Caenorhabditis elegans: one gene and its partners. The protein of the gene in region 2 purifies or fractionates together with the protein of the main gene of each other region. This does not show direct contact. Each region holds a gene or a part of one and is shown on either strand. Other genes may lie near its edges.

Region 1 (7,935 bases), on a different chromosome or scaffold from region 2:
TTCGAAACTTTCTGAAAATCAAGAAAATTAATTTTAAATTAAAAGAAAAATTGTCGTACCGTCCAACTTCTGGCATACGTTTTTCGATTCAGAGCTTGAACGTTCCCGTTTTACTGTTGCAAAGAACTTCGTGATTGGGGGCGTCGAATCGGAATTTCTTCGCTTTCTAGCCAACAATCGGAACGGTGGCTCGGTTCGCCGAAACATTTTTATACGAAAAATACTTTAAAATCAGAGGAAAATACTTTGGGACCGGTGAAAAAGCATGGAGGTTCGCACAAACTTGTTTAGGAAAACAGAAATATGTCTCCGTGGCAGGACCATACTGTGCGCCGTTGATGTCCCTTTGATACAGTACTCTTCGCATTATTTATTTTTTTTCGGCGCGCCTAGGGGTTTTCGAGCGCAGAGTTCAGGAGGCCTTCTGGATTATGGATAGAGGCTTGATTTTTAAAATTGTTTAATTCAATACAGTTTTATTAAAGTTTTTTCTAAAAATCTTTTCTAAAAATAATATCTGATTGCTGTTTATACACGAGAACAAAACTAATTTCATGGAAACAATTTTTTCTCTTTATTTTCTCTTCGAATAATTTAAATTTTAACAATTCAGGTTTTAAATAATCAATTTTTAAATAAGCAAGTGAATTTTAAGCATAACTTTTCTTCCTAGTGTACGTAAATCATTCTTTCCAACAAACATATTTTTTCGTGACGAAACTTCGCCTTCCAGAATATTCTTTTTTCAGAAAATAAATACCAAAAAGCACAATTTCTTATCTCTTGCTCATTCTTTTCTTTGTATCGTGCTCATGCTTTTATTCATTCCTCATTTTTATCTTGCGAAACCAATGTATTTTCAATAAAAAAAACGAGTGATGCATGTGCGCTCCACCGGCCGACGGAAGATCGAACATGCACTGCGCTTCGCGAGTAAATAGAACGCTCTGGAAAGTTCCGCACTCTTCTCTCTCATGATTCGGCGCACTCTCTCTTCCATTTCTCCGTGTTTCCTCTTCTGATGTTGACCCATATTTATTCTGCCGGGTGTATTCTTTTTATCTATCTGTTGCTTCATTTATTCCGTTAACCTGTTACTGGTTAATATTTCAAAAATTCATATGATTTCTTTTCAGATTACTTTCCACAATGGGAAAAGACTACTACAAAGTGCTGGGCATCAGCAAAGGTGCAACAGACGATGAAATCAAAAAGGCTTATCGTAAAATGGCTTTGAAATACCATCCGGATAAGAATAAGGAAGCTGGAGCTGAGAACAAATTCAAGGTATTTTTTAAAATTTAGTTTTCTAATTTAAAAAAAAGTTTTTGGTCCTCGGTGAAGGATACTGTACTTTTCATGACCAAGTTGTTATTTTTAAGCACTCGATTTAAAAACGATTTTAATCAAAATATAGAAAATCCCAGTAAAATTGCAGTTTTTCTGGGAATTTATTGATGTTAACCTGAAATAATATTTTTTTTAATTACAGGAAATTGCCGAAGCTTACGATGTTCTTTCCGATGATAAGAAAAAGAAGATTTACGATCAATTCGGAGAGGAAGGACTAAAGGAAGGTGGACCAGGAGCCGGAGGTGGTGGCGGCGGTGGAATGCACTACGAATTCCGTGGAGACCCAATGAACATTTTCTCATCATTCTTTGGAGGATCCGATCCGTTCGGTGCTGGTGGACCTGGAATGTTTGATCTTGGTGGTGGAGCCGGAGGCCCGAATATGTTCTTCATGAATCAAGGTGGTATGGATGACGGTATGTTCGGCGGCATGCATCAAGGTGGAAGACGTGGACATGCTCGTCAAGATCCTGCTGTGCTCCATGATCTTTCTGTCAGTTTGGAGGATGTACTGAAAGGTACAACGAAGAAGATGAAGATTACAAGAAAAGTTATGACGGACAATGCTCAACGCCTAGAAGACAAAGTTTTGACGGTCACTATTAAACCAGGATGGAAGTCAGGCACAAAGATCACATTCCCAAAAGAAGGTGATCAGCACCCGAACAGAACTCCCGCCGACATAGTCTTCGTCATCAAGGATAAGCCACACCCGAAATTCAAGCGAGAGGGATCTGACATCAAACGCGTCGAAAAGATCTCCCTGAAGTCTGCATTGACTGGCCTTGATATTATGATTCCAACGTTGGATGGAGCAGACTACCGTCTTCAATTGAACGATGTCATTAAGCCGGGAACTACAAGACGGTAGGTTAAAAATTTTGAGATTCACGAGAAGTAAATTATTAATTTTAATTCTTTCAGGCTGACTGGAAAAGGACTTCCAAATCCAAAGTCTCCATCTCACAGAGGAGATTTAATCATTGAGTTTGACGTGGAATTCCCATCACAACTCAATCCAACTCAACGGGAAGTGATTCTGAGGAACTTCTAATCGCATTTTTCAATTTTCCCTCTCTTGCTTATCAATCAACTACAGTCGAACCAAGACGGGTAAACAATCACTCTTGATTGCCATTGGATTCGATTTAGCAGTATTCAGTCGCCTTGTTCGATGTTTTCAAGCGGGTATTTAAGAGATTTTTTATTAGGATGTTGTTCTTTTTATCACCCATGTTTCATTGTTAATTACCCATCTCACACATATTGCCCATAGTTATTCAGATGCATTTTTTATCGTTTATCAAGTCTCATTCTAATGACATGAAAACCTTCATTGACAAGATACTCGGTGTAATTGTATCCCCCCTCAACCGCCCCCTCTTTCAATTTTAATTCGTGCTTCCTTATCAACATTTCCGATAAATAAACTTTTAAATTAAAGCAAAAGAAAGTTTTGTGATTTTCGTGTGTTCAGTTGATCTGTCTCCTCATCGTATCGATTGTCTTGTCCTTGGCCACGTGGGGGTAAAAGATGATATCGGGCGTTGAAAGAAAGGAGATGAGGGCACACCATCATCATTCTTTACCAGTTTGCAGCGGCAAAAATGCTGACCAGAGGATTCACGTCAATTGGCAAGATTGCAAGTAGAGGTAATTAATGTTTCAGTTAATATTTAAGGCTGGTGTAGTCGAATTTAATTAAGACTGCTGTAAAAATACAATAAAAACCGCAACAATCACCTAAAATTAGCCGAAAACAATAATCAACATATTAATTATATGATTGTCCGAGAGGAGTACACGCAGAGGGCGCTCGTTCGCGCGCGAAGTTCAAAAAATTTAGAATTATTCGCTATTTCGAAGCCATAACTCACGTTAACGAAATTTTTGTGATGTATCGTTTTTACATATCGTCTAAATTCGACTACACCCAAAAAATTATTCTCAAACTTGAGCTCACCCTCCAAATATTTCAGGTCTCTCGTCGACGTTCTACCAAGATGCTTTCCAGCTTTCGGATCAGCTCACTGAAGACGAAAGATCTTTGATGCTCTCGGCTCGGGAATACTGTCAGGAGCGACTTTTGCCACGTGTCACAGAAGCTTACAGAACTGAAAGTGAGACACTCCATACCGAATTCTTATTTAATTTTACCATAGTCTTGATTTCCAGAATTCGACCCATCCCTGATTCCGGAAATGGGAAGTATGGGCCTGTTGGGCGCCCCATATCAAGGATACGGCTGCGCTGGAACATCAACTGTTGGCTATGGACTCATCGCTCGTGAGGTGGAACGAGTCGATTCGGGATACAGATCTACGATGAGTGTGCAAACGAGTCTGGTGATCGGACCGATCTACAACTACGGAAGTGAGGATCAGAAGCAGAAATATATTCCCGATTTGGCGAGTGGAAAGAAGATCGGATGCTTCGGATTGACCGAGCCGAATCATGGATCTAATCCAGGAGGAATGGAGACAAAGGCCACGTAAGTCTAGAAAATATTTGATTCATTTTCAAAACTCTTGTGTTTTTCAGCTGGGATGAGACCACAAAAACCTACAAATTGAATGGATCGAAGACTTGGATCTCCAACAGCCCTGTCTCTGATGTGATGGTCGTTTGGGCGAGAAGTGCTCGCCACAACAATAAAATCAAGGGATTCATCCTGGAACGTGGAATGAAGGGACTGACGACTCCAAAAATTGAAGGAAAACTTTCATTGAGAGCCTCGATCACTGGACAGATTGCAATGGATGATGTTCCAGTACCAGAGGAGAATCTTCTCCCGAACGCTGAAGGGCTTCAAGGACCATTCGGATGCCTGAATAACGCACGCCTCGGAATCGCGTGGGGTGCTCTCGGAGCAGCTGAAGAATGCTTCCATCTCGCACGCCAGTACACTTTGGATCGCCAACAGTTCGGACGCCCACTTGCACAGAATCAGCTGATGCAGTTGAAGATGGCTGATATGTTAACTGAAATCTCTTTGGGTCTTCAAGGATGCCTTCGTGTGTCCCGCCTGAAAGATGAGGGAAAAGTTCAATCAGAGCAGATCTCGATTATCAAAAGAAACTCGTGTGGAAAGGCTCTCGAGGTGGCACGAAAGGCGAGAGATATGCTTGGTGGAAATGGAATTGTGGATGAGTACCATATTATGAGACATATGGTGAATTTGGAGACAGTTAACACTTATGAAGGAACACACGATGTACATGCTCTGATCCTTGGAAGAGCCATCACGGGACTCAACGGATTCTGCTAATTTTTTCTTTTTTTTCCTTTTTTCACTTATTGTCTAGTCTTGTCATAGTCTATTGCTTTTCAACGCAAAAAGTTTTATTTCATTCCCAAAAATATTGAAGTTTCAATAAATATGTAGCACACGTTGGAAATTCTTTCTTGTTGCTCAATTAGATCAGCCTTTCGAGGAGAGTCTGAAAACATAAAATTTAGTTAGAAAACGTGGTGTTTTGTCAAATTTATTACGCTCCGTATCACAAAGGAGTGCACAGAGTTGATACTCAGCCAAATGCCAAATTATAAATATTGAATTAAAATTCCAGAAAATCAGAAACTTTTACATAACTTTGAATAAATTTCAGCAATGACCTGCAAGTCTTTTATGCATTTATTTGAAACAATTCAGGTGGGTCTCGACACGAATGAAATGTTTCAACTACAGTACCCACTCTCTCGACTCTTTCTAAATATATTTAATTTTCTTTAAATAGATATGAGCTATAGAATTAAAAATTGTGTTCAAATTTTTACTTTTATTTCCAAAACAACCATATTCACAGGGGAATCCGAAAATATCAACAAAAAAAAATGAAACGCTCCGAGTTGAAATCTAGCTGAATTACAAATAATTGGATATTTAAACAATGATGTTTTAAGAATTTTCAGAATTTGGAAATTTATAAGATTACATTAGTTATCTGTGAATTGTATGGAAATTGGTCTCGAACTCTGTATAATTGGAGAATAAATTAATTTTACAGTCATAAATACTAATGGAAAAATTACGGCTTGTCTATTTAAATACACTTATAATGATTTAAAAAGACCGAATAATTTAATAAAACACTTCAAAAATTTTTTCGATTTTTCATAATTTCCGGCCAAAATTTTGTCAAATTGCCAAAATTTCGAAAAATATGAGCTTTTGAGGATATTCTAACTTCGCATGTTTTGACCCTATAATGTTTTAGTACAAATAGCTAGAACAAAACTTATAGTATAAAAATGTAGGAAAAAAACAATTTTTTTGGTCGACTTCCAAGAGTGACAAAACTGAGTAATTGCCACTTTTTGACTGTAAATAAAACATTTCCAAAAAATGCTTGAAAAGTTTTATTATGATATTCGATCATTTTGGCACCATAGGAGTAGTTTTTGATACTTTCCTCACTATCGCTCCTCCACCTTTAATGAATTCGATTTCCCAAAAAGAAATCCTCGACTTTCTTTTCTCCAGAAACATCCAAAACTTGAAATTTTTTCTGGTTTTCGTCAATCTCGTGGTGCGAAGTGATTCCATTCAACTTAATAGAAAAGTTTGAATCGGATCTGATTCAAGAAACGGAGCGTCCTGTGGGCTTGAAGTGTTCTTACTGAGCCCATACAGTCATTTCTCCCCCAGCAAGTCGGATTCCAAAACGTATCTCACCGATTCGCATGTGGTGTCAGACTGTCCCATCGCTTCACTGCACATGAGAAGCGGGAAACTTTTTTTTTGAACATTTATGACGTCACAGCGCATTTCGAATGAATGTTTTTCAATGATTTTCGTTTTTTTATAGTATTTTACTTCAATTCCGCACTTAACTTGCTAAATTGTTACAATTTCGGTGATCAATATCAATTTTAGAAGTCAACATGAGAAAGTTATTTGAAAAATTATTGGGTTGAACCGGAAGTCTTTGTGACTTTTTCAATCGTTTATTTCTCGAAGCAAAAGAAACTTCAGGATAAATTTTATTTGCTATCATTATCATCGGTATACTGCCAACGTGTGCGCAACTTATGAACGTCCTGCTTAAAGAACCCTTCCAGGCGCAAGTCGAAATAATGCTTGAGTGCCATTTCGACACTTCCATGGGAATTGAAGGTTCTTTCCCAGAGGTTACGAGTCACATCGGAAATCAACCAGTTTTCAGATGGGACAATGTCTGGAGAATACGGTGGGTAACGGAGAACCATCCATCCACGCCTGACCAGTTCTTGCAATACTTGTTTCAAGCCGTAGGGACAAACGTTGTTTTGTTGAAAATAGAGTTGCTTGTCCATCAGGGGTGAACGATTGAAGACTTTCTTCAGGTTTCGTGGTTAGATAACGTAGAGGCCCCCAGTAATTATTTTGCTATCAGGTAGCAGTTCCCAGTAGATGGGGCCGTACACTTCTCACCACACTGTGAGCATGACTTTTTTGGGGTGAAGGTCGGGTTTGGCGGCATCCTGTGGGGTCTCTCCTTCTCCAATCCACTGGGCACGCCTGTGGTTGTTATCGTAGAGGTCCCACTTCTCGTCTCCAGTAAAAACTGGGTCCAACCATCAATCGCCCCCGTGGAGAATGAGGAGGGAAAGGGAATCATCCACTAAAAAATCAAGATTGTCTTGTGTCATGGTGTGAGGTATGAATCCACCCCTAATTTTCTTTATTCCGAGAGCTGCCAAGCCCTGTACGATGTTGGTTTAATGAGACCCAGGTGCGGTTGACAGCTCACGGGTGGTTTGGAAAGGATCCGTTGCCACGGCTTTCTTAAACGCATCCAAATCCAATTTATGGGGTCTCATGATCCTCGAGAGAAAAGTCGTCCTTGTCGAAGCGGTGGAACCAATTGTGTATGATATTATAGTGATGGGCATGTGTATGATAAACATTTTCAAGGAGACTCTCTAAATCCTTCATCGTGGTATGAAAGAGGAAGAAGTACATCAAACTATGACACTAGGGGCATACATTGCTGGTTAACTAAACACAGGACAAAGGGAAGGGAATGGGGTGTTTTTTAAAATGAAGTTTCTTTACTCGTTGCACTGCAACTTTTTCCTCACGAGGGACGAGGAAAAGTGGTTTCTAATCCATGGCCGAGGAGCCGACAAGTTTCAGCGGCCATTTATCTTGCTTTGTTTTCCGCCTGTTTTCCTTCGTTTTTCACAGCCTTTTTCCGTTTTTTCTTATTAAAACTGATAAATAAATATTTTTTGCAGATGCTAAAATAATTTCCAAGTAAAAAAATTATGTTATCAGTCGGCAAGTAGCGGTGAAAGTGGGCAATGTAATTTGATGGATTACGGGAATAAAAAACCCAAACTTTTTCTGAAACATGGTATATATTCTGCTTAGATGCTGAAACTACCCGATTTTTATAACGAGACCGCTGAAAAAGTTTTGAGATTTTCAAAACTCGACATTTTGTGCGAAAATCTCGACTTTTTCACCAAAAAAGTTGAATTTTGAAAACCTCAAAATTTTTTCAGCGGTCTCGTTATGAAAATCAGGTAATTTCAGCATTTAAGCAGCATATGTATCATGTTTGGGAAAAAGATTGGGTTTTGTATTCCCGTAATCCA
Region 2 (8,179 bases):
GCCCGCCGAAAGAAAAACTATGGTGTCCGCAGAACTCGCCAACGGGAAACCCATCAAGCATCTCATCGAGAAGTTCGATGCCGGCGTCAACTTTGCAGAGCACAAGCCAAAATCCATTTATGCGCAGGTTCTCGAAGAAATTGGAGGCTCCGCGCCTAGAGTGGATGAAGTGTTTTCGGCGTCAAAGAAGGAGGAACACGCGGAGACTGAAGTGACAAATGTCATCTTCAGAAGCACTTCTACTCACAGTAGCATCATTGCGAACGGGAAGGAGCAGCTGGCCGAATTCGTCGCCGAGCAAGAAGCCAGACAAAAAGTCACTACTCCTAATCCAGTTAAAGAGGAAACTGAGAACGCGTTCTGTGCCAAAGAACAATCTTCAATGTCTTCATTGGATCGAGAGTACTTTGCATCCAAGACTAAATTGAATGAGGATCTATTTGCAGAGGTACTAATATTTTAATAATCAAGTTTTTGTTTTTTAATACTGAAATTTTTAGCTCGGAGTCAAAGATACCGATGGTTTCCAGCTCAAAACAGTCGACAGTAATGGCAGTGGACCAGGATCCTCGGAGATCATCACAGTCATTGAGACTCCATTGAAGGATGATCACCGAAAACGAGCAGATTCCGTGGAGGTTTGCTGATGCGATTTTCTGAATTAAATTATTAAAATTAGTTTCAGAGTGACGCAGATGTTCCATACTCATTGTGCAGTGAAGATGAAGCGGAACCGATGACAATGATCGACAAGTCGATGAAAGTATCACAAAGTGCCGAGCAGTTGTCCCCTGTAAAAGAAGAGCAGAAGGCTAAGACTGTAGTAGTCAACGTCGAGCTGGACGGCAATCGTGCGGATCCCACAATCAAAGATCGCATTGCAGCACTGCAGGCGATAGTGTCAAAGCAACATGTGCCAATCGCAAAAGTGGACAGCGTCGACGATGATGTCAGGATTCTCAGCAGAACCGAGGAGCTTCAACATATGGCACTGGAGGCGAAACCTTCCCCTCAAGCGGTAATTATAAATATTGCTCAAGAAAGTATATTTATTTTAAATTTTCAGCTCGGAGCACTCCGCCGCCGCCACGTTCGATTCATGCGAGGATGCTGCGTTGTCCAGTAGACTTCACCTCCACATCTCACAATCACTCCTCACATCCACGTGTCATAGTGCTTAATTGGTGCTATTAAATCGCCGCTGTAAATTATCAGTCCTCACCACACTCTATATTTTATCCAGATAACTTTCTTTTGTATGTGTGTGTGTGTTTCGAGACAATTATATTCTAATTTCTAATTTTATACCCCCTCCCTTCTACCGTGTGTGGTTTTCTAGTTTACGTGTTCTCAGGGTAGCTGAGAACTTTTCCCCCATTCAACAACTAGAACCAACACGAGTTCTAATTTTTATAACTCTAAAATTCCACGCGCACAAACCAATTTCGCCGTTGTTTCTGTTTTTGTTAAATGAAAGAATATTTTGATGATTTTGAAGGAAACATTTATTATTCTTAGCACAAATCAACATCCTTGCACGCCTTGTCTGGAGAATCCTTGTTCTCAATATCCTTTTTCAGCTCCTTCTTGACCTTCTTCAGCTCTTCCTCACACTCGTGATGCAACGGCAACAGCATAGTCCAGCAAAGAGTTCCGATGTTCACATCAAGCCATGCATCGAGATCATCATCTCCAACCTTCTCTCCACCCTGAAATATGTGAATAACGAGGAAAATTGGAGATATTTGGAGCACAAACCTCGACGAGAGCCTTGCAGACATCACAGAAAACACCGTGATGCTTCTTGAGATTGAGTGGGTTAGCTGGATTGGCTAGAAGTGGAGCAGCGGCGAGCAAGACAAGGAAAAGACACGGAAGAATGCGAGTCATTCTGTAGATTTTAAGATGAAAAACTGGAGAAATGAAGCGAAAATGCACCCGGAGCAGTGATGCTCGTGTCTTTTATCAACTTCGCGGCGGCACTGATAAGGAATCGAATCGTTTCTGATGTTTTCAGCATGGAGGAAAAGATCAAAGGACATTATAGAATACACACCGGGTCGTTCACACATCAGATGCCGATTTTTCGAACTGATAAGATCGCTTAGAGGAGTAGCTTTTCGCCTTGACGGAGAAAATATTGATTAATCAGGTTAGCAGTAAAGTAAATGGTGTGGGCATGTGATTTCTTGATAATTTGAGGAAGATGGAGGCAATCAATTTACTTATTTCAACAATTCTGGGGAAGCTTGAACAAAATCAACAAAGTTAAATAAATACGTAATTAGATAAATATTCACATTTCTTCTTTACAAATAGGCTCTCCGGATTTTTCAACTTTCAAATGCTATCGTCGCTTCTCGTGAGCGCATCCCAGGCGATTTGTCGATATCTGAAAGAGAAAATTGACATTTAAAAATTTAATTAAAAAAAAAAAAACAAACCTCTTGAGCTGCTGAACGGGCTCACTGGACGACGTGACGCCTCTTCCGACGATGATGATGTCGTTCTGCTGTACTTCGATCGCCTCGTCGACACCTCTCCACTGCTGACCGGCCGAGTCGGATTTCGCGTCGAGATTCACACCGGGCGTCCAATTGAGAAGATCCGAGCAAGCAGACACTCTCGTCTGAGTGATGAATCCAGAAATCACGTCACGATTCTCGTTGGCAATCTTGACGGCGGTCTCGGTGTATCCTTCCAGCGCAGTCAAAGATCCTTTGGTGCTGAGCTGCGCGATGAGGAGAACTCCACTGAGCCTGTAAGTCGGATCTTTGGCGAGCTTCCTGAAGACTCCTGCAATGCTGTCACTTCCTTGTACGGCATGAACAGTCACAACATCCGCCCAGTTGGCGATTTTCTGGGCTCCAGTGAGCTGAAGAAGGTTCGTGTTTCCAGTGTCGCCAAACTTCCGATCCTCGAAAATGATAAAGTCCATATCATTTGCCATCGTCGTCAGCTTCCTCGTGAATTCCTCGTTGAAATCGGTGATAGCGTCGGCGTGAAGCTTGATCGCCAGCACAAATGGACCAGCGAGCTCGATCATCTGAAGGCACTGCTCGACGGTAGTGTAGTCGACAGCGAGACACAGATTCGACTTCTTCCGGCGCATGATTCCAAGAATTTTCTTGATGAGTGCAGATTCTGTGAGGGATTCGCGTTCCGCAAGCGGAGTTCGCACGTTTTCCACGTACGGTAGACTGGACAGGTTTTCGAGCTCGCTGTTGATTTCCAGCTTTGTTGGGGAGGTGTACGGAAGGTTGAGAGCCTGAAATAATCAATTATTTTATTTTTAAATAGAAAATCGAGATAATTTGACTAACCTGAACAATTCCGTGCCACTGCTCGTCACCGATCGCTCCAGTTGAGTACAAGAATGTGAGAACTGTTTGCATGTCGAGCAGGCTGTGCAGCGTGACACCCGCGTCCTGGAGCTTCTGACGCCCGCCTTGTTCTCGATCCAGAATGCAAAATACATCCGAGGCGACCAAATTCTCTGTGTGAAGCACTTTTACCACGTCCAGGATGCTTCCACCTGTCGTCACGACGTCTTCGATGAGGATCAGACGATCGTTTGGCTGGTACAATCCCTCGATGAGCTTCTTCGTGCCGTAGGACTTGGCCTCTTTGCGAACGATGAGCAGCGGCTTCTTCAGATAGTTTCCAGCGGCGACTGATGCGTAGGGAAGAGCCGCGTATGGGATTCCAAGAACTCCAGCGTACTGAACCTCGCTAATCTCCACCTGCTTCGATATCGCTTCTGAGATAAGCATCTGGAAATAGTTTTCTTTTAAATAAAAATCATTAAAATAAGCTATTATTTTTTTTTTAAACTTTAAAAAACTCACCAAAAGCCCCGGATGCCCAAAGCATTCGCGAAGATCGATATAAATCGGTGAAATCTGCCCAGACTTGAGCTGAAACTCGCCGAATTTGAAGACGCTCGCTTTGAGCATTTGGCGGAGCAGATTCCGCTTCAGGGCTCCATTTCGGGTTTTGTCGGTGAGCGAGCTCATTTTCTCTGAATAGTACGATTACTTTTTGATGGAAAATAGTAGCGATGAATGTAAAATATAACGATAAGACTGAGGGAGATAATATATACTTGTGCAGAAAGCAGTAGTACGATTTGATAACAAGTTTTGAAGCGGAGAAGAGTAGGAGAAAGAGAACAAAGAGATTGATTGATAAGAAAAAGCTTGGGAAAAGAAATAAAATTGCATTTTGTTCAGATTTCTTAGTTTTACAGCGGGAAAACAGAAAAAGAACGAAAATTGGATTTGAAAAACTATTTTTTGAAGAGAAAACTTGAAGGTTACGGTAGAAGAGAGACAATGCGATGGAGAGAGACGCAGAGAAAGTTGCGTAACATTTGGTGTGCTGTACGCAACACAATGAGAGGGAATTTCAAATTTAGTTTTTCTGCGGGATCTTGTCGATAAATTTAATTAAGTTTTATTTAAATAGGGCTCGAGAAATTTTAAGATTTAAATAATGATTAATCAAAGATATGATGTTATAGTTTCAAATGAATATAAGAAAAACAATTAATAAAAATTTCTCAATGAAAAATAGATGCATTATTTTAAAAATTGTCATATAAACATTATAAACATTATATACCCCTCTAAAATTTTTGACTAGTGACGATCGATATTCCCCAAACGCGAACAGCATATCTGACGCGCAAAATATCTCTTAGCGAAAACTACAGTAATCTTTAAATGACTACTGTAGCGCTTGTGTCGATTTACGGGTTCGATTTTTAAAATTAACTTTAAGAGAAAAGGGAAAATAATACGAAAAAACGAATGAAAATGATATTTCGATGTTACTATTCGAAAAAAAATAACTTCAAAAATTGAGCCCGTAAATCGACACATGCGCTACAGTAGTCATTTTAAGAATTACTGTAGTTTTCGCTACGAGATATTTTGCGCGTAAAATATGCTGCGCAATACGCATTCTCAGGATTTATAGTATTTTAATTCTAAGTTTTCATCAAAAAAAACGTTGTCGGAAAAATTATTTTTTCAAATAATTCAGGCGGGAAATTCAAGCAGTTTAAAATTTCCGAAAAAATTTTGCGGGAGGCTCGAAGTTCTGAATTAAAAAAATCACAGGAACATTTTAAATTTTTAAAATTGTTTTCAGTCAATCTTTACAAAAAACAACATTTCCAACACTTTCCCGTTTCTCCCATAAACTCATTTTCCTGCCCAGCCAAAGTTGTCGTGGTGTGTTCAGTGATGCGTTCACCCAATTATGAGAGCTCTCGAGAGATGACGTTGTTCCTCTTTTCCCCATTCCAGCAACACATTCTAGAGCAATTTAACTAAATTGAGTGTAGCGTGAGTGAGTGCGCGTCCCTTCTAGAAAATAGAAAAAACGAAGCGAAAAAAAGAGAGAGAGAGAAAGGAGTCTCTCGAGAAGCTCATTGTGCATAGTTTTGGAAATTTGAAAATTGCAGAAAAATTCAGCCTCACGATTTTCCCAATATCATGACCCCTGCCTAACTTTGAATTAAAAAAAAAACATTTTTTCTTGAAAACTATTAAAATATATTGTTGAATTTGTTTAATCGCACTACAAATCAGGGGTGGGCGGCAATTGCTCCGGCAAATTTTTTTGTCGACAAATTGCCGGCTTGCCGATTTGCCGAATATCTGATTTGCCGTAAATATTTAGAGGGATTTTTTATAAGACGAAAATACTTAAAACTGTGCCTATTTGAACTTTTCCCGTTTTCTTTAGATATTTTTATATAATTTGCTTACTTTTAAAAATAGATGTATGAACATTCCTAGGATGTGTACAATTTTGCCGATTGAAATTGAAATTCTGAATTTCACAAAAAAACCACAATTTGCCGGTTTGCCGGAAAAATAGTTTTCTGCCTACTCCTGCTACAAATTATTATTATTCAATTTCCAGATTTTCTTCTTCTCCTCCTCCTCTTCATCCTCAATAATTGTATATCCGGGGGTGAGTGTATGTATGTATTTTATTGCCTTTCCTCTCATTTTCCACCCACATTTCCCCCATTTCCTCGTTTTCTTCATTCTTTTTGTTTTTTTTAAGTCACGTCATTCTAATTAGTGGGTGGGAATTTTTCAACAATATTTTTTAATATCTATGTGTTTTTAATAATCCTGATACTAAAATTTTTAAAGAAATCGAAAAGGTTGCTCAAAAATCCTCCCATCGTGCACGAGATGAAAATTGAGCTTTTTCGCATTATAACTAGTAAGAGAGCACAAAAAGCTCATGTTCTGAGCATTAAATTTTTATGTGAGTAAATCAGCCTAGGCAACTATGGGTAATACTGGGCGATAGGAGCAGGGATGTTACGGCAAGCGAGATTTTCGGCAACCAGCAATTGCAGAAGTTGCAGAACCAAAAAAATCCGCCTGGATAGTAGCCGTCAGAGCGGGCAATAGAGGGCAGAAGCCGGAGTGAAATGGGCAGTCGCGTTTAAATTATAGGACACTGGCGGGAGTAAGCAGACAGGTTCGAAAATTTGCCAGTTCTATAACCAGGCGGAAAAAGCTAGCTGGACACCCAAACTTTGTTGACGTGAACGAAGAGCGGCGAAAATTGATGGACACAGGGAGAGACGAGAGAAGCGGTTTGATTAGATAAGTCAACAAGCTGGCGGCTCTTTTTCTTCAGATGATGTGAATCTCTTTTTCTCTCTCGTCATTTTCTTGTTTTTCAGTGAATGAGTGCCCTTTCAAGAGGACGGTACATTCAGACACAATTGTTTTGTTTTTCGTCTCTCTAGTTTTTCTGCGAATTGTAGGAGGAACAAGTTGAGTTTTTTTAGAACGATTTGTACATTTGAGCTTAACTAGTGATGTCCTACTGACCCGGCGAGTGTTAGGATTGCAGTTTTGCCGACAAATTTCCCGCACCCGCTCCAACCTATTTTCAGCTTTCGAGGTTTTTATCGCCCGCTACCACTCGTTTCAGCCCCAAGCCTCCCAGATCTGCTCTTTCTGCTCTCAGAGCTCCTAAATTTAATTCAAAAAGCCCGTTTACCGGCCCGATTAGAGATTAAGAGTATTTTCACTTACTTTTTCAATATTATTCTCATCTTTGAACTCTTTTTCTTTTCAACTTCAACTCCCCCATATCTTGATTATAATCCATCCATCTGTCACTCACACAACCGAATCGAGTGTTTTCATTTTCTCCTGCTCTTTCTCAAAAAAAAATCTAAAAAATAGGTTCCTCCTCCCAAAAAGAAAGAAGAAATTTTTTATTGTTTTTCTTTTTTTTCGTGCGTATGTCAGCTCTATTCAATTTCGGCCACCCTTTTCTTCTGCAGCCCATTATTGTTTTTTTTGGAATGAAGGTCCTCGATTTTTTTTTTGCAATTTGAAATATTATACTTTGGTTTTTTTGTAATTTCAGTGAATCCAGGAGTTTTATTTTTTTAATGTCAACCCACTCAAATAAACTAAAAATAGAATCTGTTAAAACGATTACTTTTACCTAATCAAATTCTTTTCCACTGATCAAAAATCTGAATAATGGGTTCAAGAAACTGATTTAAAAGTGATTTACTCTCGGCACGTTCCACATTTTTTTGGAGTATATAATTTTGATGATTTTTAGATGGAAGAGTTTTTCAATTTTCTAGGCCACGGAATTCTGAAAGATTTAGCAGCATAAAAATGCTTCAAAAGTTCAAATAATGACATAAGTTTCAGTGTGGCCTAGAAAATACAAATATACTTCCATCTCAAAAATCTTATTTTTTTTTCGATAGTTTCAGATTCAACTTCTATTGACTAATTTTTACCAAGTGGCCTTGAATTCGAAAAACCTCTTCCATCTCAAAATTTCTGTGCTCCAGGCAAATGTTTAACGTCGAAGTTTTTACGATTCCATGGACGGGTTTTCGAAAAGGTCTAGATATTTCACCTTTTTTTAGTCTCCGGTTTGTGTATGTGCTCTAATGGGGTTATTCAAGTAATGTCGGAAAATTAAAAAGTGTAGGAAAATTACGTCACAACTGTATTCAAGTATATAAAAACATGTATTTAAATACATTTGTGACGTCACAAATGTATTTAAATACATTTTGCTAAATTACTTGAATAACCCCATAAGATTTCTTTCTTTTTTGGTGGCCGAACATTTGCATCCTGGCCTAGAATTCCATACCATTATC
Region 3 (6,718 bases), on a different chromosome or scaffold from region 2:
TCTTGGTGGTTTTGTGGGACGGAGATTATTCCTTCTGGTTTTGAGCTACGGTACCCGCATTCTGCAAATAATATACTTCCAATTGAATTATATAAAAATTCCACTAACTTCTTTCAACGGTTTCCCATTTGATAGTAAAAGAACCTTGGGTTCCTCTAAATCTCAGCATTGCTCCTGTTGAAGTCATTGTGATTGGAGTGTCACTCAGCGGTGCGTGAACACTGTGTGAATCTCCACAGAATGTTGCAAACTCAGAAGAACTGTCTTCTGGTCCATCGTATAATGTCAAATTCGCATCAGTTTTGGCACAATCTGTAGGTCCTGATCCTTCTTGCGTAAATTTATCAAATTCTGTGAAAGTCATTACAACTGCAGAGTTTGCAGCAGGAATATTGAAGACGAAATCACATATGGACAGTTCCGTTTTATTCGATCGTTGTAGGTCGAATGTATAATTTCCGCTCGAATGAGTGAAGTGAGAGCCACAGTCTACAAAATGAGTTTTGTTTTTGAGGTTTCAGTCTCTGCTGATGTCTACTTGACAGTGACTGCGCAGTCCCAGAACAACCTTCGGTGGCTAACTGTTACTCTTATTTGTAAGGAGCAGAGAAACCAGTCAAGTTTTGAGCAGGCAGTGGCGGTATCGGTAAGACTTTGGTACAGGCTTTGGATCTAACTTCTGATACTGTAGAATCTTGACTGAAGAGCGTGGCATGGTGAGTCCACTTTTTTAACAACTCTGCCTGTGAAACCTACCAGCAGTTAGATCCAAAATATGTTCAAAAGTCTATACTAAGTTTGCCCAAGGCTAAAGCTGGGCCGCTCCTTGTACAGAAAACAAGCAATAAAAATTTTATTAATGAATTTTCTTACGTTCTTCCTCTTCTTCGCATGCCCTACCAAAGAAGTGCTCTGGACAGTCGCAATAAGCAGAATTTTCAACGGCAATACAAGTTCCTCCATTTTTGCAAGGATTCGTTTGGCACGGTGATGTTTTCTCACAGAACTTTCCAAGAAAACCAGCTTCACATTCACATTTATATTCGGTGTCGCTTGTTGGCTGAAAACTATTTTTTGAGTAACAGTGCTTACTTGTCTTCATTTGTGTTACCTTGCATTTCCCAGCATTAACACAATTGTGGTTCTGGCAAACGTTACTTGCTGACTTAACACATCCTTCCTCTCCAATTCCGTCACCAACATATCCATCTGGACAGTAGCAAGTGTAGTCTCCAACAGCACTGTATCCGTCGTCAGTTACCTTGCATGTTGCTAATTTATGGCATTTGTTTTTGACACAACTATCATCTTTCACACAATTTCCTCCATCGCCGGAGTATCCAGTCGGACACGAATCACAATAATAACTGCCAAGAGTGTTATGACATTTTGAAAGCGGAGAGCATACACGAATTTCACCTTCACATTCGTTGACATCAATACAAACATTTCCATCGGCTGAATTTATTTTACTTTTTGGATTTCAATGACAGATATTCAGTACATTTTTCGACACCTTCAAACTAACAAATTCTGATTTTTCACATTGTTAAGCCGAAGTTTATAAGACTTTCTCTCCTCATTCTCGGAACTGAGAAATCCAAACAAGTATTTTCACAAAAAAAGCTTGAAATTTGTAAGTGTTATACAGGGTAGGCACTTGTTCAGGCGTACGTGTCTACCTCATGCCTACCACACACCTATTGACCTATTTAAATGCCTACTTACCTATTTTATGAAAACGTTTTGGATACGAGTATATATTTTCTAGACAAGAATTAAACCAAAAAAATTATTTTATTTTTGATTTGATTGAACATATATAATTCTAACTTACTTTTATATCCTTTTGGACATCCGGAACACACAAACGATCCAGGCAAATTAATACAATCAACTCCTGGATGACATGGATTTGATTCGCATTCATTGACATCAACACACGTTGGATTGTTCTTATCACTTGAAACCTTGAAACCCCAATCACAAATACACTTGTACGTAGTTGTATCGGAAGATGACTGACCAGTTGGATCCACAATACTCTCAATACAATGCCCATGTGGACCACACAATTCAAAAGTTTTCGAGCAAGCGGACATATGATACTGACAAAGAGATCCATGATATCCGGATTGGCACTGACATTCAAATCCGCCACGGTTATTGATACATGTTCCATTGTTCTGACATCCAGCAGTTGTACCATTGTATACTGAGCATTCATCGATGTCAGCTTCACAAGTTGTACCGGTGAAATGTGGAGGACAAAGACAAGTGAATTTGGCGCCAAAAGATGGGATACATGTGCCTCCATTACTACATTTGTTCGGATCGCACGCGTTTATTGCTATCAATTTGTTGATTCCTCTTGAAAGTTAACAATTTATAAAAAATAGTCAAACCTAACTTGTTGTGTCTTACATGATTTGACGTGTCATTTTCACCAATAATCCCCGTCTCCTCATGTCTCTGGCCATTTTATCAGTTTTCCACTTCTTCAAGATATTCACTTCGAGTGTCATATTTCGAAGCTAAAAATTGATTTCAAAAAGAGAAAAAAATGTATGGAATTACCGCTACTAGATAATGTTTTGCAGAATTTAAAACCACTCTCATTGCAGAAGTCTGCGTGTCCTGGCGACTTTTCAAAGTGGTGAACATTTGAGAAGTGTTCTCAATACGTCCAACAAGTTGCTTGAAAGATGCCTGAAAATTATTTTGAATATTGAAAATTGTAATTCGAGTTAATTTTCAAAAACTTCCATAGTTCAAACATTTTCAAACAATTATTCATTTTGAAAAGTTTTATAAAAATAATAGAACTTAATTATCAAAATTTACGTGACCGTTTCTCAGGAAAGTGATTCTTTTTAAATAGTTGTCAAAAAGTAAATTTTTGCGTGATCTCCGACTATCTAATTCCAACTCTTACTCGTAATCCACGTTTCGTTCCTTTTTCTAATCTGACCGTCTATGTTTTAATCAGTTCTTGAAACATGGGCAAGAAGAAGTCTGATACGGCATCCGGTGGAGCTATTCCAGAAGGAGACAATGAGAAAGGAAAGAAGGTTAGTTAAATTTTTCATTATAGTGTTCCCAGAAAACCTATTGATTTTCAGATCTTCAAACAACGTTGCGAGCAATGTCACGTTGTCAACTCATTGCAAACAAAGACTGGACCAACATTGAACGGAGTGATTGGAAGACAATCCGGACAAGTTGCTGGATTTGACTACTCGGCTGCCAACAAGAATAAAGGAGTTGTATGGGACAGACAAACACTTTTCGACTATTTGGCTGATCCGAAAAAGTACATCCCCGGAACTAAGGTAGGATTTTCTAGGAAGTGCGATGGAGTATTAATAAGAAATTTTCAGATGGTCTTCGCTGGTTTGAAGAAAGCTGACGAACGAGCTGATCTCATCAAATTTATTGAAGTGGAAGCTGCCAAGAAACCATCGGCATAAGCCTCTACTAAATAAGAAATCTGTGTGTTAAGCAAAGCAACGTATCAAAAATAAATGTTTTGTAGAAGCTCGTTCATTTTTTTTTTGGATAATTTCAGCAGTCTACCTACAATATCTGGAAGTTTGGAAACATCTGTTTCGTCCACATATATTCTTCCATTTCCAGTCGTTTTGAACGTTATATTTTTATCCTTTCCGGCATGCAACCACACATTTCCATCAACCATTAGAATACGTGATCTGAAATGTTTTCGGACGTAATTTTGAAAAAAAATTAAAGGATTCGTTACCTTGTTTCATATGAATCTTCGATGTGTATTTCTTCATAGTCAATTGAAGATACATGATTTAATAAGCCGAATAGTATTAATGAAAGAAATAACTGTAAGTTAGGTATCATTTGTTGCGAAAATGAAATGAAATTAATGGAGTTGCACGGTGGAGGGTGAATAATTTGTTTATGTCATTGATACCTGATTGGAAATTGAGACGATCCATTTGTTTATAACAGATTATGTAAGAGAACACCTGCCAATGTTTAGGTTATGAGTAACTAGTGGGCCGTTGAATTTGTGTTCGGTTTTAATGAAAAAACTGTTAAGCTGGCTGAAACTCAGGTATCAAAATATGATGGTGTTGAATACTCTCCAAATAATCGCTCTAAAAAAGTGTCAGGCTGTACAGATATAACAAATGTATCTTATTAATAGTTCAAAAATAATATTTCGTGCAAACTGATTGGTCTGGCATGTGGTAAACAAATAAGCCAGCAGTTGAGATGTAGGCAGGCACGAGGTAGGCACGAAGACAATTCCACTGCTTTAATTGGAAATATTTTCAGGTATTAATCTGCTTTTTCAAAAATATTTTCTTACACAACATTTCGCATAAATTTCGAATCATTTATTGTTTTTTTTTTCAATTATTTTCGTTCGCATAAAGGCAGTGTGAGGAATGAAATCATAATATGAAACAACGATGGGCTGGGCAAGTTCCGTAATACTCTTCTATTTTCTTCCATAAGCATAATAATAGTATGGAGATGTATAATAGTAGTAAGGTGGCTGAGCAGCCACAGCTCCAGTCTGTTGAGTTCCTTGCTGATGATTTTGAGTATTTCCAGATTGATCATATTGAGGCGTGTATTGCTGTTGTTGTTGTGGTTGTTGCTGCATTTGGGATGATTGATCATATTGAACCTGTTGGGTATTTCCTGATTGATCATACTGTACTGGTTGCTGTTGAACTCCTTGTTGGTATTGAAGAGTTTGTTGTTGCTGACCCTGTTGCGTTTGTTGTGGATAATACTGTTGTTGTTGTTGTTGGGTTCCTTGAGCATACTGTTGGTTTTGTTGTGGTTGCTGTTGAGCATAAGCTTGTTGGGAAGCTCCACCAGCCTGAGTTTGCTGAGCAACTCCAGTGGTACCAGCAACTGCAGCGGTTGGATAATAGTAATAGTATGGTGTGTAATAACTTGTTGGATAATACAAGTATTGGGCAGAAGCCACAGCAAGAAGTGAGCAAAGAGCAAGGAGGCTGAAAATTTACGAATGAATGATGCACATCCTACCTAATGATAACATAAATCGTTTGCTAGAAAACTTACGTGTTCATTTCGTTCGATTGAAGTGAGCAGAAATGGTGAAGATTTTTCGTTTGATCATTTTTATACCTTATTTCAATGGGTGTGTCTAACCCAATACTGTCATCATCAGTTGCATTCCGAAAAAAACTGCGAAAAAACTCCACGATTGTATGTTTTTCTTTTATTCCATCCATGCCAACCACAAAGTTACTGAGTAAACTCGAGGTCAAGAGAAAAGAGCCCAATCAAAAGAAATAGTGAGAAAGCAAAGAGAGCAAGACTCTGAGTTTGTTGACTTTCAAAAGGACTTCATTGAGAATGGCAGTTGGCGGCAAGCTAAAACGGTTCAATTTGATAATGGTGATAATGATCAAGGCTCAAGATTGATACCTTAGATTGATATTTAATTAAAAGTGCAAGATGCTAAATGGCTATAGTAATAACATTATCAAATTACAAATCTGTAAAACTGACTCATCTGAATCTAAACAATGGGTCAAATTTCTAGTAAGCTCGAAGTTAATAATTACTAAATAATTTTTAACAGAAAACTTTGAGCTTTGAGCACGAAAAATTCGACGACTTTTCATGTAAATAAACGGCTGGAAAATCATTTTCAACTGGTCTAACGTTGTTATGCCAAAAATGATCATTTTCACGGTTTGAACCAAAATTATAAAGAGTTTAGTGACTTTTATGTGATAAACTTCTACAGGGATCTAGCAAACATTATTTTAGTCAATCTCTGAACCTTGGATACCTTCTAAGTCATATGAATCAATAATAACTGTGATCAATTTATGGTCAACCCATGTTTCCAATCTTATTAGTAATATACAATTCCACAAGAAACCACGATAAAGACCACGGGTAAACACTACATTTTTTGTTTGTAAGTCATTTTGTGTTTCTGAAAAATAGCAAACAAAGCAAGGATGTACATGCGTATTTCGGGAGTCCCAAGAACATGTTGTTGACAAGAAAATGACAGAAAAAGTGAAAAGATAGAAATTTGCAGATTTTCAGTATTTCGCGCTTCTTTGATCTACTACTTTGTGTGAAGATGGAATGTGAGGAGAGAGGTGTAGAACAAACTATTTTTAGTTTTTTGGTGATTTGTAGGAGCCACTGATGGAATTTGGGAGTGTGGCGAGTAAGTATAAAATGGTAACGACACACTGGACTTAATCATTCTAAATATAACTTTCCCCAAAATGAAGACGTGAGTCTCAAATTTAATATAAAATTTAATTTGCTTTTGTGAATCAGTTTTTCATCTAGAATTGTTATTTTAACGTTAGTTTTATTGAATCTTTTTAAAATAATAGTTTTGATATTTAGTTTAAATTTTGAAACGTATTACTGTAGACCCAGACAAACTGACAATATAGAACACAGGGTTTTTGGAGTAAGCATCCACTGAGCAGTGGCCTGAAACATGTGAACAAGCACACAAACTATAGAAACTTTTTTTTATTGTATTGTTAACTCGGAAAAATTTGAAACTACACTTTAATGACTCACGAAAACGTTGCTTAGCAGTACCCTATTGGGCTATATATATAGCTTAATTTTTAATAGCTTGATTACTTATTTTTTATAAACATAAGATTTGAGATAAGTTTATTGTTCATACGTTCAACGTCAATTGCTTAATTTTCAG
Region 4 (8,661 bases), on a different chromosome or scaffold from region 2:
TGGCCCTCAATAAAAATATCAATGTCCAAATCCAGTTTCAAGGTGTCGATGAAGCTTCGAAGATTTCCATTGGAATTGCGAACGGAAATCCTGAAAATATTTTTATTATACTTTCTAAAAATATAATTTTTATTTATTTGATCTTACCAATCGTATGGATGCAGTTTCTTCACAATTTTCTTCATAATATTCAGAGGCAAGTCAAAAAGCGTCGGCGAGCTTGTCTTCGATCTGAAAATGTGTTTTAAAAAAGTTATTTGAAATTATTGTAGCCTAAATAACTAACAATTTCATGGAATTCTGCTTGTCCGTCGTTTCACCAATTTCTGCTCTTTGGCTAGTCATGTCGACGAATTACCTGAAAAAAATTAATTTGAGTAAATATAGAAAATCACGTTCAATGTGTAAAAACGAAATTAATTTTTACAAAAACAGGTTATTTTACTTATTTTAAATCATTTTCAGGGGAAAAATCACAAAAAATTGGTTAGAAAAACGCATAAACCACATTTGAAAATTCAAAAAAAAATTTAGAATTTTTGTGCGTCAAATGAGATGCCCGGTACGCATACTGCGTACTCTGAGAGTTACCGTAGTTTGGAAAAGGATCTTTGTTAACTATTCGAGAATTCCTTTTAAAATATAGAAAAACTGGGAAGATTACAAAATATTAAACGGAAGGTAACATTCAGCCGTAACCCAAATTATTGGTTTAATCAGTTTCAAAACAAAAAAAGTAACAAAATAAGAATTCATGTGACTAGTAAAACAAAAGCAAATTTTGAAAAATGAGAAGATTATTCGATTTTCTTCACAATTTTAGTTTCGAATTCAGTGACTTCAATGAGATATTCGAATCCATTTGCTTTGTAATTGATTGTTCCGTTATAGCCAACAAAGTTCGGATCGAACACTTTGAGCACTTCTTTTGACACCGTTAACACTCCACTATTGTCCTCATCATCGCTGTCTTCATCACTATCTTCATCGCTGTCATCCTCGCTGTCATACGTGTTCCTGCTGAGACAAGTTTCCAGCTTTGCAGACGAATCAACCAACTGAAAAAAAATCTAAAATTAATTAATCAATAATTAAGAATTTCTATACCACTTTCAAATCAGATGACAATACTACAGTTGTGAATTCGATATTTGAAAATGCGAACAGTTCAGCAACTCGAATTCCGGTGTAGCGATCAGTGGAAAGTCCAGTTTTCAGTTTTTTCGCATTCTTCCACTGCTCCGAAAGCGTCAGCTGCCAACTGAAGTAGAACTTGTAGGAATTAATGATTTCAATGTTCTCGAGAGTTCCAGACTTGAAAGATTTGAGAATGAGCACAGTTCGAGGTTCCTTTAGTCCACTCAGAGAAACTGATTTCGCTTGGAAACAGTGAAACTCTCCAAACTCCTTATCGATTGTTCTCAGGCTTGCACTCAACAGTTTATTTTTAAAACTAACTCTTCTGGAACCAATATCGTAGATATCTTCAAATTCGTCACTTCCTCTTCCCATAAAGTCAAAATCCAGTTTGAACTCTTCAATTTGGGCACTTGGAAGCTTCATAACCACGAACAATTTTCTGAGAGCAAACTGTAGTCTTTTATTGTAGATGGTTCTTCTTTCATCATCAGCCACGACCGGATGGAAAGGTCCGAAGGATTGATTTCCATTGATATCAATGGTGTGAAAAGTGCCCTCAATAGAAACATCAATGTCCAATTTGAGGTGCTGGCTGTCGACGAAATCTCGAAGATTTCGATTGGAATTGCGGACGGAAATCCTGAAACTCATTTGGTTTTTTTTTAACATTTGCCTAACATTCAAAATTTGATACCAATCGTATGGATCCACTTTCTTCATAACTTTCTCCATAACATCAACTGGCATGCTTAAAAGCGTAAGTGGTCTTTTCTTCGATCTGAAAATAAGCAAATTTTAAACTGAATCCGATGCAAATTTCATTTTAACACTAACAATTTAATCGATCCAGTTTCTTTGTCATTTCGACAATTCCACGAGATGAGCCAGTCATTTTGACAAATTACCTGAAAAATAGGAAATTTATTTGATTGATTCAGTTTTCAATCGTTTGAAGTGAAGAAAACAATAAGAAAATACGGATAAAGTGAAATATCTTTGTAAAATACGTTACCTAACGGTAAAATAACAAATTTTCCAGTAAATTTCGTGAAAACTGAAAATTTCTTTTCTGTCTAATAAATTTTCACAAATAAAAATCACAAAAACGACAGGAAAAATGCAAAAACTATGTTTGAAATTTTGAAAATCCAAAAACAATAAACTAGGAATTCTGTGCGTCAAATGAGATGCCCGGTACGCAAGTTGCGTACTCCGAGAACTACCGTAGTTTCGGAAACTTTTTTTGAAACGGCTAATTTTAACTTATTTTATTTTCAGAATATAATGAAAAAAAAACAATTTGCATGCAAAGTAGCAAATAGAATTTGAAATAAAACGTTTATTTTCGTAAAATTTCTTAAATTTGCAGTGAAAATCCAAAAAATGAGGAAAAATCTCACTCTCAACTTTGCGCGTAAAATATAGCGCCCTGTACGCACACCATGTACTCAGAAAATGACTACCGTAGTCATTGCATCTTAAAATAATGTTTAATGAACCGAAAACAACACAAAAGAATTTAGTTATGCGGAAATTCAATGAACATTTTGTCAAAAAAAAATAGGGGAAATCAACAGTGAAAAAGTAAAAAAGAAGACTACAATAACTACAAACTACAAACCAATAACGAGAAATGAAGAGATGATCAAGTGAGAAAAGTGAATAAAAATACTGCATTTGAAACGGAAACGATGTAGTTTGTAGTGTCAAAAGGCTACAAACTACACAAAACTAGTCTAGACAGCACCAAAATAGCTGGTTGAGAAATGATTTGGATAGAGAGATGTGATATCGGAGGCGACGACAGTGATATACGGGTACTTTCTGGTTATATTCTTGAGTCCAGTCGGTGAGATGAATAGGGAAACCAAGTAGATATTCTCATCTGGGACACGTGCCTCTTTTAGGACTTCAATTGCCTTGCAAACTGTCGTCCCAGATCTGAAAAATTGGAAATTTTGATAAAAATGTGATTTTTTAAATTTAAATGTTTCTTCAGTTAAAAAAATTTCAAAAAAAGATTTTTTTTGCACAAAAAAAAACTCAATTTTTTAGACAATTTTTCGCCTTCTGGGGAAGTTTTAGTGATCGACATTTTTAAAGTTTCTACGTCAAACAAATTATTGAATTTTACGATTTTTCGCCGGGAAAATCGATTTTTTGACATTAAATTTTGTGTTTTTTTTCTCAGATTTTTCAATCAAATTTATTTCGGCCAGATATTTTTTGTAGTTTGTAGTCTCTGAGCGTACCCTATCGTTGGGTAGAGCAGTAGAACTCGACGCGACGTGATATCCGGAAGAAGCCTGGCGTAGAGCACTTTTTGTTCGTCGCCTGTAACAAAAAGTGGATGAAAATTGGAAATTTTGCGAGTTTTGAGGTTTTTCTTTTAAAAAAGTATCGCCAGTTTTCGACAAACTCAGTAAAACTCACGATTTCTACCACTTTTCTGGGTAAAAACGCAAATTTTACTATTATATATATTTTTAATATATTTTTCAGGAATTTTACCATAAGAACAGTACATATTTATTACAGATTTAAAAAAAAAAACATTTTTCGGCTGAAAAAACGAGTTTCTCTACGAATTAGAGGTATTTTTGAAGGAAAAGTCAGACTTTTCACAGATTTTGAGGGGTATTCAGGAGAAAATCTATAAAAACTGGATATTCACCAGATTTTTCCATTTTTCAAGCAGAAATCTGCATTTATAAGAGATTCCAGGTAATTTCAGGGAGAAATTGATGAAAATCGCAATGATTTTGGTGATTTTTCGCCATTTTCTTCTATATTTCTCAATTTTCTTCGCCTTTTCTAGGAAATTTCCCAAATTCCTCTCGATATCCTCAATTTCCCGTACCAATCAGAATTTTTCCAATTCGAATACACCGACAACACTGTCTCAATGAAACTTCCATCGCCTCTCCACTTCTACACAACGATACTCCACAATTTCCACGATTAAATTGAATTCCTTCATATTTGAAGCCTGTTGGTGTGGTAACTGTGTGCTCAGTGAATGGAAGATGATTGAGACATTCTTCAATTACAAGCCGCATCAGACGATCCGCGTTGAATACGAAATCCGAGTGATTTGTTGATCTGGAAATTGGAAGATGGTTGAGGCTATGGGGCTACAAACTACAAACTACAAGATTCTCTGAGCCTCAACCAATTTTTACAAGGAAAACTTCTAAAATTGCGAGGAAATCACGAAAAATACCGTTTCGGACCCGGAAATTTATGAAAATATCGGAATTTTGACTCAAAATCCGAGAAAATCCTTGAAAAATTCATTTATATAAATAAATATATTCATGTTTTCTAACAAAAAAAAACGTTTTTTAATCAAAATTTCAGTTAATTTCACGGCAAAAAGGCCAAAAAATGAAAACGTTTTCTATTTTTCTCCTAATTTACTGGCAAAATCGCTTAAAATGCCGTTTCTGACCCGAAAATTTGTGAATTAACGGATTTTTAAAATCTAAATTCCAAGAAAATCGCTTTTTAAGGCAAAAAAGGAGTTTATTTAAAATCAACAAGTTTTTCCGGCAAAAATACCGAAAATCGTTAATTTTTCCGCAAAATCTGGAAAAAGAGCTTGGAAATATGAGTTTTCAGCCCCTTTCTTTAAATTTTCACCCATAAAATGTTTGAGGCTTCAGTCTATTCCCAGTCAAACTTCATACCTATCTTTCAAAATTGTCTGCAATTCAAGTATCTGTGGAGTCTTCTTCAAAAGAACAAAATTTGTTCCCTTCTCTTTCAGATTTGCCACCAACTGCCCGACACCGTCTTCCTCATCACCAACCTTTGGAATCACTGGAGCACATGTTCCATTCACATGCCCAGCCATTTCTGTAATCTAATACTGATCGATGAGCAGAACAAGCGTCTGCTGCTCAAATACTGTCGGCTTGTACATGTTTGCTCTGCGGCACTCAACTCGGTATAAACGTAAAGTGTTCCGACTTTCATTCTTTCTCTTTTTAACAAAAAACATTATATAAATAAAATACTTCATAATACATTGTTTATGACGATCGAACTGCAGTAATAAATTAAAAGTCAATCGCCAGGCAGTTGATTGTGGGAGCATCTAGTACTCCTCTCCCTCCTCTTCTCCTCCCTCGTTGGAGTCAGCTCCGACCTCTTCGTAGTCCTTCTCGAGAGCAGCCAAGTCCTCACGAGCCTCGGTGAACTCTCCTTCCTCCATACCTTCTCCGACGTACCTGAAAAGAAACACATTGAATATTTGAAAAGTATAGTTTAACGGGCAACATACCAGTGGACGAAGGCACGCTTGGCGTACATCAAGTCGAACTTGTAGTCGAGACGAGACCAGGCCTCAGCGATGGCGGTAGTGTTGGAGAGCATGCAGACGGCGCGTGGCACCTTGGCAAGATCACCTCCTGGCACAACAGTTGGTGGCTGGTAGTTGATTCCGACCTTGAATCCGGTTGGGCACCAATCGACGAATTGGATGGTTCTCTTGGTCTTGATTGCAGCGATGGCGGTGTTAACGTCCTTTGGAACGACGTCTCCTCTGTACAAGAGGCACACAGCCATGTACTTTCCGTGACGTGGATCACACTTGACCATCTGGTTAGCCGGCTCGAAGCAGCTATTGGTGATGTCGCTGACGGACAGAGCCTCGTGGTAGGCCTTCTCAGCAGAGATGAGTGGAGTGTAGGCGGCCAATGGGAAGTGAATTCTTGGGTATGGCACCAAGTTGGTCTGGAACTCGTTGAGATCAACGTTGAGGGCTCCATCGAATCTCAAGGAAGCAGTGATTGAGGAGACAACCTGTAAAAAGAGAACATTAGAATACAACAATCAAATTGAGCTCAACAAACCTGGGAGATGATTCTGTTGAGGTTGGTGTAGCTTGGTCGCTCAACATCCAAGTTTCTGCGGCAGATGTCGTAGATGGCCTCGTTATCGACCATGAAGGCGCAGTCGGAGTGCTCCAAGGTGGTATGGGTGGTGAGGATCGAGTTGTATGGCTCAACGACGGCGGTTGAGACCTGTGGAGCTGGGTAGATGGAGAACTCGAGCTTGGACTTCTTTCCGTAGTCGACGGAAAGACGTTCCATAAGAAGCGAAGTGAATCCGGATCCGGTACCTCCTCCGAAGGAGTGGAAGACGAAGAATCCTTGGAGTCCACTGCAGTTATCAGCGAGACGACGGATCCTGTCGAGGACGGTGTCGATGAGCTCCTTTCCGACGGTGTAGTGTCCACGAGCGTAGTTGTTAGCGGCGTCTTCCTTTCCGGTGATCATCTGCTCTGGATGGAAGAGCTTCTTGTAGGTTCCAGTGCGAATCTCGTCAACGACAGTTGGCTCGAGATCGACGAAGATGGATCTTGGAACGTAACGGCCGGATCCGGTGTCTGAGAAGAAAGTGGTGAACGACTCTCCCTCGTTCGTTGATTGAGTTGGCATGGTTCCATCGGGCTGGATTCCGTGCTCGAGGCAGTAGAGCTCCCAGCAGGCGTTTCCGATTTGGACTCCGGCTTGTCCGACGTGGATAGAGATGACCTCACGCATTTTCTTTTCTGAAAAAGAAAATTATAAAGTTTTAAAAGAGAAAGACAATTGTTATATGAGAACGAAACGATTGCGGTGAGAGCAGAGACGAAAGTGAGCCCAAATAGGGCCGAGAACGCACGAGCGCGCGCGCTCTCTCAACATAGCCCAACATCGGACACCGCGGTGGACAAGTCATCGATTGCAAAAAAATGATGACGAAATAGCGGGGCGCCAGTGGAGAGCGGATTGAAATGAGTGCAAAGGAGTGGACTGCAAGGGAGCCAAAACCCCGTTGTAAGAGACCCAGAGAATAACAATGGGAATTTCGCAATTCCCAATGGGATTACTTTGAGTCATTTTGAAACATACGTGCTTTCGGAGATTAATCAAGGAAGATGCAGCAGAAAACCGTCTTGTGAAATCGCAAAATGATTTGAAAATGTTGAATTTCAACTTGAAGAAGCTTCACGTCTTCAAAATTCGATTTTACGTGAAAACAAACATTTTTGAAAGGGCCGGAACACGGCCGAATGAGGGTAAACTATGGAAAACTGATAAAATAATGATAAAATTTGGAATTTTTCGGAAAAACGACACTGATTACGACGGGGAAGGCAGGGAAATGAGTCAGAACAAGATACAAAAAAATGTTTCGCGCCAATGATTGGTGGGTGGAGCGTGTTTGCTATATGACCTGCACATCTAACTCTCTGCGCGGCAATTCAAATCGGATTATTTTTTTCTTGTGAGTTTTGACTCTTCTCTCTTGACTTTTGAGAAGAATTCAGGTGGAAATTAGTTTTTCGCAGAAAGTTTTCAATTCAGATCTGGAAAATCTATTCATTTCGCAGTTTTTTCCTTTTAAAACCCGGAGAGTAACTTTTACTATTGGGAAAAACACTTGAAAGCGTTTTTCAAGTCATTTTTCCGGCTTTCAGTCCAAATTAAGACAACAAACAATACCAGTTTTAAGGAAAATAGACAGTTTATATTCGGAATTTATAAAACAAATGTGATAAGAACTGCCGGCGGATACGAAAATACCGAAAAAAGTAATCACCGACGACACCGAAACGGATGGAAAATCGAAAAAAAATAAATAATTGGGGGAAAGAATACACACATCGACAGAAGACCGCAATTTAGTGAGTGATATCCATGGACTCGACGACGTCGTACTTGTAGGTCTTGTGTTTCAGCACCTTGGTGGCTCCGGCCTGGAATTTGTAGACGAGGTCGTTGGGCTCTGGTCGCTTGCAGAATTCTGGCACAATTGGCCCCTTGAAGACGGTCTCGCTTGGCTCGATGATCACAAGATTCAAACTGTTTCCTGAGGCGTTGTCACCGTGCATACCGGCTTCCAGGGCGCGTTGGACAAGCTTCTCGGCTTCATCTTTCTGAAAAATATAATTATAGTATTTTTAGCGCATTGGAATTCAAAAATAGACTACTTACCGTCATATCAACCTTAAAATCACGCTCCAAAATAGTGATAGCTGCATATGATCCAGATCCTTGAGCTGTGAATGGGAAGGCCATTGTAGTTCCGTTGGCGGAGCACATATAAAGATGTGGGCCAGTTGGATCGACTCCTCCAATGAGCAAGTAGGCTCCGATGTATCCTTGATAGTTGAAAAGATGCTGCTTAGCTTGACGAAGAGCGGTGATCACACGAGCCTTGCGCCCGGTGTTTAATTCCAGAAGACGGAGATTTCCAGAGAGCATCTTTGTGACTTGATCGAGATCGGCGGCGGTTCCGGCTCCGCAGGCATAGATCGACTCAGTGAGCTTGTGAACCTTCTCGCAATGCTTATCGGCGATGATATTTCCGGCGGTGGCACGGGAATCAGCTCCCATCACAAGTCCGCCCTTGAAGGCAACGGCGACGATGGTGGTTCCGGTACTGGTGAGCTTTGGAGCCTTTCCGCCCATCTTGCACATTGCCTGATTACGAATGCAGTTGGAGAAGTCGAACGCGCCTCCACGGTCC

What was found.
Region 1: the proteins of umps-1 (region 2) and F54D5.7 fractionate together in Caenorhabditis elegans (co-fractionation; one large-scale study listed by BioGRID). This does not show direct contact.
Region 3: the proteins of umps-1 (region 2) and cyc-2.2 fractionate together in Caenorhabditis elegans (co-fractionation; one large-scale study listed by BioGRID). This does not show direct contact.
Region 4: the proteins of umps-1 (region 2) and C47B2.2 fractionate together in Caenorhabditis elegans (co-fractionation; one large-scale study listed by BioGRID). This does not show direct contact.

Annotation. Positions count from the first base shown.
Region 1 is NC_003280.10:11,544,565-11,552,499, forward strand, and holds F54D5.7 (putative glutaryl-CoA dehydrogenase, mitochondrial), read left to right. Parts: upstream 1-2,952; 5' UTR 2,953-2,960; coding exon 2,961-3,006; intron 3,007-3,057; exon of another isoform or gene 3,058-3,207; intron 3,208-3,332; coding exon 3,333-3,473; intron 3,474-3,528; coding exon 3,529-3,844; intron 3,845-3,894; coding exon 3,895-4,621; 3' UTR 4,622-4,748; downstream 4,749-7,935. Other genes in the region: F54D5.9 (F-box domain-containing protein), read right to left, coding at 1-11, 60-207; dnj-13 (DnaJ homolog subfamily B member 13), read left to right, coding at 1,150-1,287, 1,493-2,220, 2,278-2,407.
Region 2 is NC_003281.10:10,353,628-10,361,806, forward strand, and holds umps-1 (Orotidine 5'-phosphate decarboxylase), read right to left. Parts: upstream 4,022-8,179; 5' UTR 4,017-4,021; coding exon 3,849-4,016; intron 3,774-3,848; coding exon 3,324-3,773; intron 3,269-3,323; coding exon 2,445-3,268; intron 2,393-2,444; coding exon 2,341-2,392; 3' UTR 2,210-2,340; downstream 1-2,209. Other genes in the region: T07C4.3 (ANK_REP_REGION domain-containing protein), read left to right, coding at 1-448, 501-638, 680-1,018, 1,067-1,126; spp-1 (Saposin B-type domain-containing protein), read right to left, coding at 1,515-1,709, 1,759-1,890. UniProt on the Caenorhabditis elegans protein: Bifunctional enzyme which catalyzes the formation of UMP from orotate in the de novo pathway of pyrimidine biosynthesis. May also form UMP from uracil. Regulates the size of gut granules during embryonic development.
Region 3 is NC_003283.11:12,608,499-12,615,216, reverse strand, and holds cyc-2.2 (putative cytochrome c 2.2), read left to right. Parts: upstream 1-2,998; 5' UTR 2,999-2,999; coding exon 3,000-3,071; intron 3,072-3,122; coding exon 3,123-3,332; intron 3,333-3,380; coding exon 3,381-3,470; 3' UTR 3,471-3,535; downstream 3,536-6,718. Other genes in the region: cubn-1 (Cubilin homolog), read right to left, coding at 1-61, 109-489, 874-1,060, 1,112-1,458, 1,838-2,370, 2,425-2,534, 2,578-2,709, 3,581-3,710 and 1 more; ZC116.1 (Prion-like-(Q/N-rich)-domain-bearing protein), read right to left, coding at 4,478-5,006, 5,077-5,249; ZC116.5 (Conserved secreted protein), read left to right, coding at 6,270-6,277. UniProt on the Caenorhabditis elegans protein: Electron carrier protein. The oxidized form of the cytochrome c heme group can accept an electron from the heme group of the cytochrome c1 subunit of cytochrome reductase.
Region 4 is NC_003279.8:12,959,575-12,968,235, forward strand, and holds C47B2.2 (Phosphoribosyltransferase domain-containing protein), read right to left. Parts: upstream 5,006-8,661; 5' UTR 4,997-5,005; coding exon 4,830-4,996; intron 4,243-4,829; coding exon 4,001-4,242; intron 3,475-4,000; coding exon 3,393-3,474; intron 3,082-3,392; coding exon 2,877-3,081; 3' UTR 2,468-2,876; downstream 1-2,467. Other genes in the region: fbxa-101 (DUF38 domain-containing protein), read right to left, coding at 1-90, 148-231, 287-345; fbxa-140 (F-box domain-containing protein), read right to left, coding at 798-1,058, 1,108-1,780, 1,835-1,887; tba-2 (Tubulin alpha-2 chain), read right to left, coding at 5,240-5,372, 5,426-5,946, 5,997-6,689; pbs-2 (Proteasome subunit beta), read right to left, coding at 7,814-8,068, 8,127-8,661.